2 linked regions of the Neodiprion lecontei genome follow. The protein of the gene in region 1 interacts with the protein of each later gene in a pairwise test. Links are inferred from orthologs where the notes say so. Each region holds a gene or a part of one and is shown on either strand. Other genes may lie near its edges. The genes, in order: cysteine and histidine-rich protein 1 homolog and ubiquitin-conjugating enzyme E2-22 kDa.

The links.
Region 2: the proteins of cysteine and histidine-rich protein 1 homolog (region 1) and ubiquitin-conjugating enzyme E2-22 kDa interact in a two-hybrid assay, tested with the Drosophila melanogaster proteins (2 studies listed by BioGRID). The link is inferred for Neodiprion lecontei from reciprocal best matches to the Drosophila melanogaster genes CG32486 and Ubc4.

Annotation. Positions count from the first base shown.
Region 1 is NC_060260.1:36,889,163-36,893,989, forward strand, and holds the start of cysteine and histidine-rich protein 1 homolog, read left to right. Parts: upstream 1-1,816; 5' UTR 1,817-2,092; coding exon 2,093-2,338; intron 2,339-4,827.
Region 2 is NC_060261.1:10,719,790-10,726,108, reverse strand, and holds ubiquitin-conjugating enzyme E2-22 kDa, read left to right. Parts: upstream 1-1,812; 5' UTR 1,813-2,023; coding exon 2,024-2,086; intron 2,087-3,231; coding exon 3,232-3,384; intron 3,385-3,461; coding exon 3,462-3,544; intron 3,545-3,699; coding exon 3,700-3,863; intron 3,864-3,975; coding exon 3,976-4,107; coding exon of another isoform or gene 4,108-4,112; exon of another isoform or gene 4,113-5,106; coding exon 5,107-5,129; 3' UTR 5,130-5,434; coding exon of another isoform or gene 5,435-5,445; 3' UTR 5,446-5,654; downstream 5,655-6,319. Other genes in the region: ribose-phosphate pyrophosphokinase 1, read right to left, coding at 1-163; E3 ubiquitin-protein ligase RFWD3, read right to left, coding at 6,023-6,319. UniProt on the Drosophila melanogaster protein: Catalyzes the covalent attachment of ubiquitin to other proteins.

The sequences.
Region 1 (4,827 bases):
AGAATAAAATTAGAAGGTGAGAAACCATATGAATAATTGTTTTCGTATACAAAGTATACACAGGTGTATGAAATACATTTCCACTTAAAGAAGTGAAAGTGCGGAATAAAGAATAAAAAGATGTATTATAATTAAATACTTTTTTGATTTTGTTTTGCGCAGATGAAATCAAAATTTTTCAATATCAATAGTGTCTGAATACTGGTATTCAATGATTAGTGTTTGTGAATTCGTGAATTCGTTTTGTACTTGTTGAATTGATGACAGTAGAAATCATCAAATTATTAATACTTTGGAAACGAATTATGTATAATTATTTAAGCTTCAGGTTTTTGATTTCGGGAAAGGGTCAGGCTGATTATACGAATTTGGCATATTGTAATTACCCATTAAGTCAATCAAAATAAAAGTTAGGGAAAAAAGCAAAAGTAAAACTAATGAAGTGTCTCCAACGAAAAGCAGAGGGAAGGGATGCTAGGCTTAATAAAAACTAATCTGAAAGTGTCAAAACTATTTAAACTTGCGGAATCATCTATTGACACGTTAAATTAATGATATTGGGTATTTTTCAAGTAAAAATGAAATACTTAACTTCTAAGAAGAAGAAAGGATACATTTTCGTGCCAATACGTAAGCGTTACGAAATAATTGAATCGAATTATAAAATATGGCACAACTGTCAAAAGTTATAGTATATTTATAATGTGATAAATTAAGAAATTGAGAAACGTTAATAACTGCAGTCGCTTGCTGCTTCTAGCCTTGAGGCGTATTGACAAATTTTCCCGTGCGATGATGTTGAAATTGAAAAAAGTTTCAAGCCCGATTAAAATCTCTACGCAAAGTTATCATTACCCAGGCTCTTATCGGAACAAGCAATTTATCGTTTCACATACCGTAAAAATAAAAACAAAGGAACATATACGCATAAAAGACAAAGAACGTTGTAACGATAATTGTCTTAATAAAACCTGTGAGAACATATTCAAATTTAAATATACGGTTTATTTTATCAGTCCCTTATACACGACCTTCTCCTATCATTGGTATCAATTAGACGCGAGTCTTTAACCACATCAGTCACGCCATAAATTTCTAATTATTCGAATATATTGAATTATAGAGATATAATAAATATTAGTACAATAATGTATTTTTATACATGCGTTTTCGAAACGATTCTCTACTGTCACGTACTATCGATGTTAAAGAAACAAACAATTTTGTCCTGTCTAAGTGTATACGATTTTGAAATTTCGAATGACAAAAGTAGATAGCAAACAGCTGATTTCGAGCGGTAACTTATATTACTATATCCGATGTGTACCGCAGTTGTCTTTTCCGAAGTTAAAAAGAAAGACATAAACTAACATCAAAGTGATCGTAACGGTTACATAATTCTCGTATCGCCGTCGAGTCGGTGGATTACAAAAAAAAAAAAAAACCGCATCTCCGCCTGGTCGAATGACAAAATTTTCTAACTGCATAGCGAACGATGATCGCTTAGCTACCTCGAGAAGAATTCATCTAGCCACTTATAAATAACTGCATCGAGGAACGGAGATGCGTACAGAGCAGGACGATCATAGCCGTGGCGTGGGTTTTAAAAATATCGCACGTGCCGCCTGCGAGGGTCTCGCCAGATTGGCCAACGGCTCCTGCTGCGCAGTGTCGGGAGTCGATCAGCTGACTCGCATGCAGCCCCCCCCCCCGCTCCCGGCCTGTGCCGCTCCCCCCCGCCAGCCATTTGCCCCTCCTCCTCGCCCCTCTCCCCTCCGCGCCGCTTGGCCGACGTGCCTCTTGAGCTGGGAATTCGACGGCGTGTGTCGCGCAGTCAGTGTCACGCAGCAGCGCGTGTGAGATATCTGACAGAACACAAAGTAAGGAGGAGGAACGAATTTGATAGATCGGGTGGATGACGGCAGAGTTTTGAGCCGGGAAACTATCGTCGATTGGCCCGGGGCAGGATCGGAGTGGTGTAAAATAGAAAGATATATAAAAAGAGATACAGCGATATAGAGGAGACAAAAGAGCGGCGGGTGAGGCTCCGCGGCGGCACCCAGACGGTTGTCAAAAAATCAAAACAACAAAAATGGCCGATCCGAGCAGCGAGGCCGCGTCGTCCAGCGGCGCTTCGGATCTGGCGGCCGTCGCCGCCGCAACACCGATACGCGACGAGGCCGAGAAACAACAGGTCGAGGATTTTCTCGAACCGGATAAAAAGCGTAGGAAATTTTCAAGGGGCGACGGAAAGACAGAGCAAAAGCTGGAGCATCGGCTGGGCGGCATCCTCTGCTGTGCCGTCTGTCTCGATCTGCCCCGGGCAGCCGTTTACCAGGTATGTACGTCCCTCTCGCCCTTACGCGCGCCTCCTATCCCTTCTCTCTCTCTCTCTCTCTCTCCCTACGTCTCTTCTTTGTCTCGACTGCTCCTTCGCTCACCGTGACGCGACAGCGATCCCGAACAGCTGTTCCGTCACGTACCTCTCCATCCATCCACCAAACGCGCATTTCACGTTTTCGATTAATATCCATGTACGGTCTCGACGGTGACGCGTTTCGTTTCGTACGGGCAAATCGCACGTGATTGTTCTTTAATTTTCCTCTCTCACCCCGCTGACGAATTTCTTTGTATTGATTTTTTTTTTATTCCTGAACGAAATGTCCTCATTTTCTCCGATCTTGCGATCTTTTTGCAACGTCGAGTCCTGAATCTCCTCGAATATGTATATGTTGTAATATGTGGATGGTTGTGATAGAAGGCGTGTAGTAGGACAAAATGGAGATCTCTTTTACTTATTTTTCTTCTTCTGTTTCTTATCCCTCTTATGCAATATCTGGATGAAACGCAGCGGTGTTTATCCTAGTATTATAAGTAAAATATAACGCACAGACGAACTGTGCAACAACTATAGTACCTGTATACTAATTTTCTTTCATCATTTACTTTGTTATTCTTTCCTCCCTCCGCAGAACTAGTAGTGTCTATTTTTCGATATTATAGAAACAAAATTACACGCTAACAAGGTATAGATAAACTAATAAATTGAAAAAAGAAAAAGATAAAAGGAGCAAGGATTGTCAGGCAAGTATACGCTCGATTTTATTACATAGGTATGTCGTACAATCTAAAAATTTGCAGACATCCTCGTAGTTACGATAACTTATAGTTTACAGATCGTAAACTTTAACCTGAAAGCGCACCGAAAATCGAATAAATTATCAATTGTTAAAAAAAAAAAGAGGACACGATGCTCAAAGTATCCACGGCACGTGTGTGTACTGTGTGTATGCGTGTGTGTATGTGCGTGAGTAAAATGTGAATGTGTATTCGATAATTGTTGAGCTAAATAGTATATTGTGTTCAAAAGCTGCATCGTACTCTGGTACATACTACGTATATATTATATATACAAAAACGCGCAAAAACAAGGTAGGTGAATAATTCACGTTCTCTTTCTCTTTCTCTCTCTCTCTCTCTCTCTCTTTCTCTACATAATCAATGAACGACTTTATACCCCGCATGGCGTTCACGTTGGCATTATTCTTGTAACAGAGGAACAAAGAATACCTCCGATAAATAGGATGAAAAAAGAAATAATGAAAAAAGAACAGATTGATAATATTCTGTTTTCTGCATTTCTTTCTTCACCACCGTTTCGACATGTATTCTTGCGTGTTAGATAATTCACCCAGAATCCACTTCTCGAAAGTGCTACACCTACGATAATATCGCCTTCCTGTCGACGGTGAACACATGGGGTTTGAAAAATCAATAACCGGCAATGGTCAAGACGGAGTTGACTCTTCACGATCGGCAACAAAGCCCGGAGACACACCTAGGTACTTATATTACGTTGCGTATCTGATCGTGAATCGGAGTTTGTCCCTCTTTCATATCCGTAAGTCTATGTAATAATGCTTTCAACGGAGGAACGTGGGTATCGAAAACAATTGAACAACGAGGCTGAAGTTGGCTGCAACGTTTAACGTAACGAAAAATTGAGGGGAAAACATGGATTTACTTTAAAATTTTACAACTACCGATGGATTGAGTCATGAGAATATATCAGTCGACCATTTCGCTTTATTCATACGGTTCATCGAACATCGTTACACAATCGTAACGTTGCGAAACATGGACGATTTTTTTACCCAATTTTTAAGCATCGTTAGAATTACGCTGCCAACTTCAGCCTCGTGACTATTCGACGAACGAAATCGTGTGCCGCGGGCCAATCTACTCTGTATGTATACGTACATACGTACGTTTGTACGTACAATTATGCAACAATAGCGCAGCTTTCATATATATAAACTGCAGCCACACATATAGGTACGTTCACTGCAGCGTGAAAACCGTTACGCAACCTTGAGAGCTTACCTTAACTTCCGCGGCTTCTACGCAGTAATATTTTTATTTACATCTAATCGTTCCATCATCGCGTCTTTGGCGGTAGTCTGTCGTTTCTCTCCCTTGTATGGATAAAATCGTTAATCTCAAGTTTTTGTATTTAAATACGAATGAGTTATCGCCTTTATTTTCTTTGTTTATTTTAAATATACTCCTTCTTATCACTTATCGGTTCCCTCTGCAATCACGCACGAAGATATATGGTACAGAGAGAATTTATGATGTATTTAAATCGTTCATGTCACGCGACGCCATTTTCCGTCTATTCGATGCTTGCTTCTTTTCTCTTTCTCATAATCAGTGCTTATCATCTTTTGTTCGTTGGATTGCAATCGTTGCGCCATTCGGAGCCAGACGCGTCATTGGCAACGTTCAACATATATATATATATATATAGTTCAAAGTATAATTTAT
Region 2 (6,319 bases), on another chromosome or scaffold:
CGATTCCAAGCCTGTCGACTATTCGCTGCGCCAGGTCCGGGTGCGACGTACCGCTGAATACTTTGATATTTGGCATTCTGCTCCGTAGTACACTACCGCCACGAGGTTTCTCTAACTTTGCGCGTAACAAACTCCTCGCACGGACTGGTTGCGAGACGGGCATTACTGTAAATCCGAACGACCAATCAGAGCCGTCCGGAAATTATCAGTATGCGGACCCAGCGCTCCCTCGTGTCAGCTTACCGAATTATTTGCATTTCAAATCTTTGATCTTAGGGTGGATTTTCACTGGCGGCAATATGCTTTTTTCACCGATAGGAATGCCGATAAAGTAATAAAGTGCTGCCTGATGCACGCTGAATGCGAATTATCCATTTTTATTATTATTTGCATTGGTCTGGAACTAGGCAGTAAAATACTGCCGCAGCATTTTGCTGTCCACGAAAAGCTCGCATGCCTCATGGGGTAAATGGTAACGGCCACTCGGTATACTCTATCTCTCTTGCTCTGCGCTATGATTAGCTGGTCGATCATTCAAATTGGCCAATTTTTCTGTTATTTTTTTATTTTTTTTTCATATTCTCACGAACTTCCAGCGAGTTTTAAGAGGATGCTACGGGTAGTCTCTAGTAACCGAATAAAATATCACTCATTTTGACTATTACCCAGAGTCTACGCATCACTGACATGAAAATGGCGCGGATAGCACATTTTAGCCACTGCAATGTCGAACAAGAATATTCAAAAGCTTCTGTCTTTCATGCAAGAATAACATCAGAAAATGTGCTCCTACAATTAGTAGTAATTCTATTACAGGAATATCATTGTAGCGTAAAACAAATACCCGTTGGGTTCTTGTGTTCTGCTTTCGATACAGAATAGTGCTATCACGGGACTACCTTTTCCCGTTAACGAATGCGTAGGCTCTGATAATAGTTAATCATAAGTGACATTTGACTTGCTCGGTAAGGACTGACTATAGAAACTTTTTTGTGAACTGATTTTGAATTTTGAGGATGTCGAAAATTGCAACAGATATTATCGTTTTCAAACCATTAAATATGACTCGAAGAGATAAAATTTGTTCATGAACGGGTACGGGGATAATTAAAAAAAAAATTAGGTAATGCGTTTCATAGTTCGGTCCGTACATGGCAGATATGATGCTGCAAACATATTGACATAAAATCGAACAGAATTGTAATTATGTACTTGAGAATCATTGAAGCATACATATTTACTATTCGTTTCATAAGTCAGCAGATAATTTAAAGTTTACTAATTAATCCGGTCATAGTTAATTTATTATCAATCGGTGTTCTGTCATATTATATTCCATTTTGTCACAGTATAATGTTACATATATATTATACATTTTTTGTACGTGACATCGTGGTCCAATTTGTTATTTTTTCAACTTTCTTCTTCAATTATAAAATTATTTATGCTGATTTAATTCATGCACTTACGTTACAATTAATGTAAAAGATTAATAGAATCGTTCGGTAAAGTATTTATATAAGTGCATTGCAGCGTTAAGATCTGACAGTAAAACAGTTAATATTCACCACTCAATATCTGTGAAGGCGTAGAATAAAACCTGCGTCATTGCTTACGTATTCCATAAGTAGTTGTTGAAGAATTGAATAAAAAAGTTATATATAACCATATTTACATGAGTCAGTGAATAAGTTTTTTGAAAATCTCGAACGAGATTGGTAGGAAAAAAAAAATTTCAAATTAGCGCCAAAGTAATCGCGGCGTGACTCTAGTCGGAATTTAAAGAGACAGGCAAGTGACAGTCACTTTTCTACTTTTCGTCTTTTCCTATCAATGTGGCGCTAGCTGTGATCGAATGACAAATTGTATGTAACCGCCAGCGGTTATTTGGGTAAAAAAAATACAGGTTGCGACAACAGTACATGAATTAAAAGAGCTGTTTAAATCGAGGTAAATACTGGCATCCGTACATTCGGCGGTAAATTATGTCAGTGTATTGAGTAGCTGGGAGTGATAGGGAGACATGGCGAACATTGCGGCGCAACGAATCAAACGGGAGTTCAAAGAGGTTATAAAAAGCGAAGAGGTGAGTGAATAAGTGCAACTTCTCAACGACCCAGTACATTTACCAGTATTTAGCCAAACGCGTGATCGCGAGAGAATTTCACATATTATGCAACGCTAACCTGTAACAAACGGCTAAACAGATTCTCCACGTACCAAGTCGTAGACAATTTTGAGTTGAGGGCACATCTCGCTTTCCTCGCTCGTTATAATTTTCAAACTTTCCTCTGACAGTTGCTTGCGCAATTATTTACCTCGTCTGAAAAGTGTCTGTTGTTATTAGAAAAAAAACATTTTCATTGAAAACTTATCCTTTTCACAAAATTCGTGAGAATCTCAAGTTCTTAGTACATGAAATATCCTATTCAGTTCATACTCATTTCCATAGAATCTTTATTTCTTCAATATCTACGTTCTCTGTCAGGTTCATCTTTTAGGTTTCATCATTTCTCCGGATATTTGAATACTGTTTTAGAGTCACTAATTAACCATCCAAAATTCCTGTTTGAAAAGATATCAATAAATGTAGCTTACTTACCATTTTCTTCTTCTTCCGTTGACAATAATTCGACATTTTCTGGGCTTGCCATAGATTTTTGGGTTGCAGTCAAGTTTTGTTTTTCCAAGACCCCTTTGTAGGCAGGCTATCACGATTTCCACGCTTTGTTAACAAACTGCTTTGAATCTCGTCACATTTTCTTACTTCAGACCGCTTCTTGCGCTAGTCGACATTTCGAAACTTTGTTATTTTCTACACATCATTACGGGTCGCGTTGATAAACTTGGCTTGGTCATTTTTTCTATAAAAGTATTACAGATTAAAGGCTACAGGGGGTCGGCAATCTTATTAAAAGTAGATTACTATTTCTCAGCAATACGATGTATCTGTTGAGCAGTACTGTTCGTATGAATCGCGATAATATTTGTGTTGATAAAACATAACAACCTCGGTGCATAGCTTGGTTGCCTTTCCCTTTTCTACAATTATAATATTCATTAAATATGCTGATAAGATAGTGTTGTGTTTCAGTTGAAATATATTTTCAATAGTTGAAGTTGATATTGAATATGGTCAACTTGTCAAATGATTTCCTCTTCTACTTTATTGGCATTTTCAACAAACAATAATTGACTAATCATGTTTATCTCTTTTCTCTAACATTTCAGGTGGCAAAATGTGCGATTAAGGTAGAACTAGTAAATGATAGCTTCACAGAATTAAAGGGTGAAATAGCAGGACCACCCGACACTCCATATGAAGGTGGCAATTTCGTGTTAGAGATAAAAGTACCTGAAACGTATCCATTCAATCCACCCAAAGTAGGTACCAAAACCATCATGAACAAAGATGTAGTATAAGATCTGAAGTCATTGAATTTTACACTTTTTTATTTCAGGTTCGTTTTATCACAAAAATATGGCATCCAAATATATCCTCGGTTACAGGCGCCATATGTTTGGACATATTAAAAGACCAATGGTAAGTTGCAGTCCAATAATGGTTACTAATATAATTGATCGGGTGATAATTTTGCACTCTGCAATGTCGTTGGTTCTATCACCTTACGACAGAATAATTGCATAACAGATTTTAGTTGCATTGTGTTTTAAACGATAATTGTCATCCTTTGTCAGGGCTGCTGCGATGACCTTAAGAACAGTTTTGTTATCGTTACAAGCCTTATTGTCAGCTGCTGAGCCTGATGATCCACAAGACGCTGTGGTTGCTAAGCAGTATAAGGAGCAGCCTGAAATGTTTCGTCAGACTGCAAAACATTGGACGTCTGTGTATGCTGGTGGTACAAGATTTATCTACTACGAAATTTATTAAAGTTTTTTTTACGAGTAAAGACCTCAGCGAACTAATGATTGTAATATCAAAAAATACCAAGAAATGCCTGATATTTTTAGGACCAGCTAAGATGTCAGATCTCGATGACAAGATAAGAAGATTGACTGATATGGGGATCGAAGAACATAATGCACGAGTAGCCTTATCCTCCTACAATTGGGACTTAGAACGTGCCACCGAACAGCTATTCAGTTAGTGATTACTGTGTATTCTTATGTATCATAAAAAGCAGCTACTAATTGGCAGCAACCTCTTGGAATGTCACTGTCACAAAAGCATACCATCGTGTTTTCAAATAATTGAGAAAAAAACCCAACATTCGTAATGACAATATTGCAATGGTGAGATAACTTTGGAAGTGATCCCAAATTTGACTAACTATTAGCATTCATTTAACATGTAAAATAGATACGAGAAACAATAATAATTGATGAACAAGTTTTAAGTAGCAAAATTTCATAAGGTATGTAACTCAAGAGGAGGGCATTATTACGATTTACGAGAATAAGTTGTAAATTCTAAATCTACAAGACGAAGCGACATTTATGTTTGAATAGACATATGAATGTTTTTTTTTTAATCAATTCCCAATAATCCACTTAGAAACAGCATTAGTAAAATATTTAAGAACCAAACACGTATTAAAATCTACGAAGATAATTGCTTTGATTAGGCACTAACACAGTTGCCAAGTGCTTCCCTGAAATTTTTCTTCAATCTGAGTTCAAGTTTTATGTGAAACCTCATTGCTGGAGGTGTGTATCCAATTGACTGCGTTACTAACGGTTGTACTACTCAAGTGTAACTCATTGTCAGTTCAATGAATGATGATATTACATGTTTTTGCCCCCAACTCTTATTGTTCGAATATAAATAAAATTATTAAACACTTCTTCAATTGTCAAAATTTGAAGATTGACTAGCTGATTATAATATCCTGCAGCATATCGACTGATTGTAACGGGGTTTCGCTTGACTCTTGAGTGTATATTAATCAAATTAACGTATCTTTTAGTCCTAATAAACGTATTTATGAAATTTCGGTAGCCTCCAAACTTGATTTGTGAATATTTAAATTTTGCACATTTTTTGAAGTTTGATTACTTGCAAACTTACACTACTTTTCATTATACCGACGATAAGAAAATTCCAAGAAATCAGCAAAATTAAACTTATAATTTTAATTACAGTGACGGTTATGGCGAAAAATTGAACGTAGCTATTTGATGAAAATACATTTCTTAGAAAACTTGGAGTGTAAGACGGCAGTGTGGTACGACAGGATATCGCATGGTCGGTCCCGTGCACGTTTGCTAAGTGATGTTGTATACGTTTCACGTAATGGAACATTTGATTAATTTAATCTACATCCTATCTTACTTCGATTGTAATTCTAAGAGTAAAGTTCTATTGCCAGGTGTGAAATCTTACCTGCATACGATGTACTCCAATTAATTGAAAATTGATAGTTATGTTTCATAATATTTCATGCATTTTTCAATCATTCACAATGTGCAGGCTGTGTCTGAAGTGTCGCCAGCAAGAGTCAAGGTCCAACTACTCGCAAACCAGTTTGTTAACTTGGGACAAATGGTTGGGATCTGTGAATTTGAATTTACAGGAAAACAAAAAAAAAACTCTGCTCTGTTCATATTGGGAAATTTAGGATTTATACCATTTAATAAGATCAATGTACATTAATAGGCCTCAAATATTAATAAAAGTAATTTTTTTTCAATACTTCTTTCAAAATTTGATCCACCTTGATTTGATCGTGGAAAAATATAAATAGTATACAGTTTTGAATTACTGGAAGTAAAAAAATTATTCGGTCAATATTTAAAAACAGGGCTTATAGCACTCTTAAAAAACGTGCCTAATCTATAAAGAAAATTTTTTTATTCGATACAAAATACTTACGCTACAATAATCGGTATCACATAAATTTAATTACACACACGTATATGACATATTGTATAGTTTAAACAAGTTTCTTTCACTTTCTATTTCACTAGTAAATAAAACACATTCGATTATGATTTCACATCATGCTATTCCTTAATAACACTTGACGTCAACGTCTGTATGCATTTATCTTACAAATAATCAATTACCATATTTATATGCCCTTAGTTTCTTTTGAGAGAGCGTTGCTAGAAAGAGGTCATTGTTTTTAGTATTAAAGGCGCAGAAGTCTATCACAGGATCAGAAACAGGAAGATTATAGATCTGTTTACCAGTTGATATGCTCCAAATTGGTATAGAGCTGGTAGCTTCTTGATGAGCGGCTAGAAGCGTGTCATTTTCAGTCTTTATCTGACACGGTCTAGAAAGTAATTTCTGTGAATTTCCACCTTGGAAAGTGTGAACGATATTGCAAACGATTATATCCTCGGTACCTTT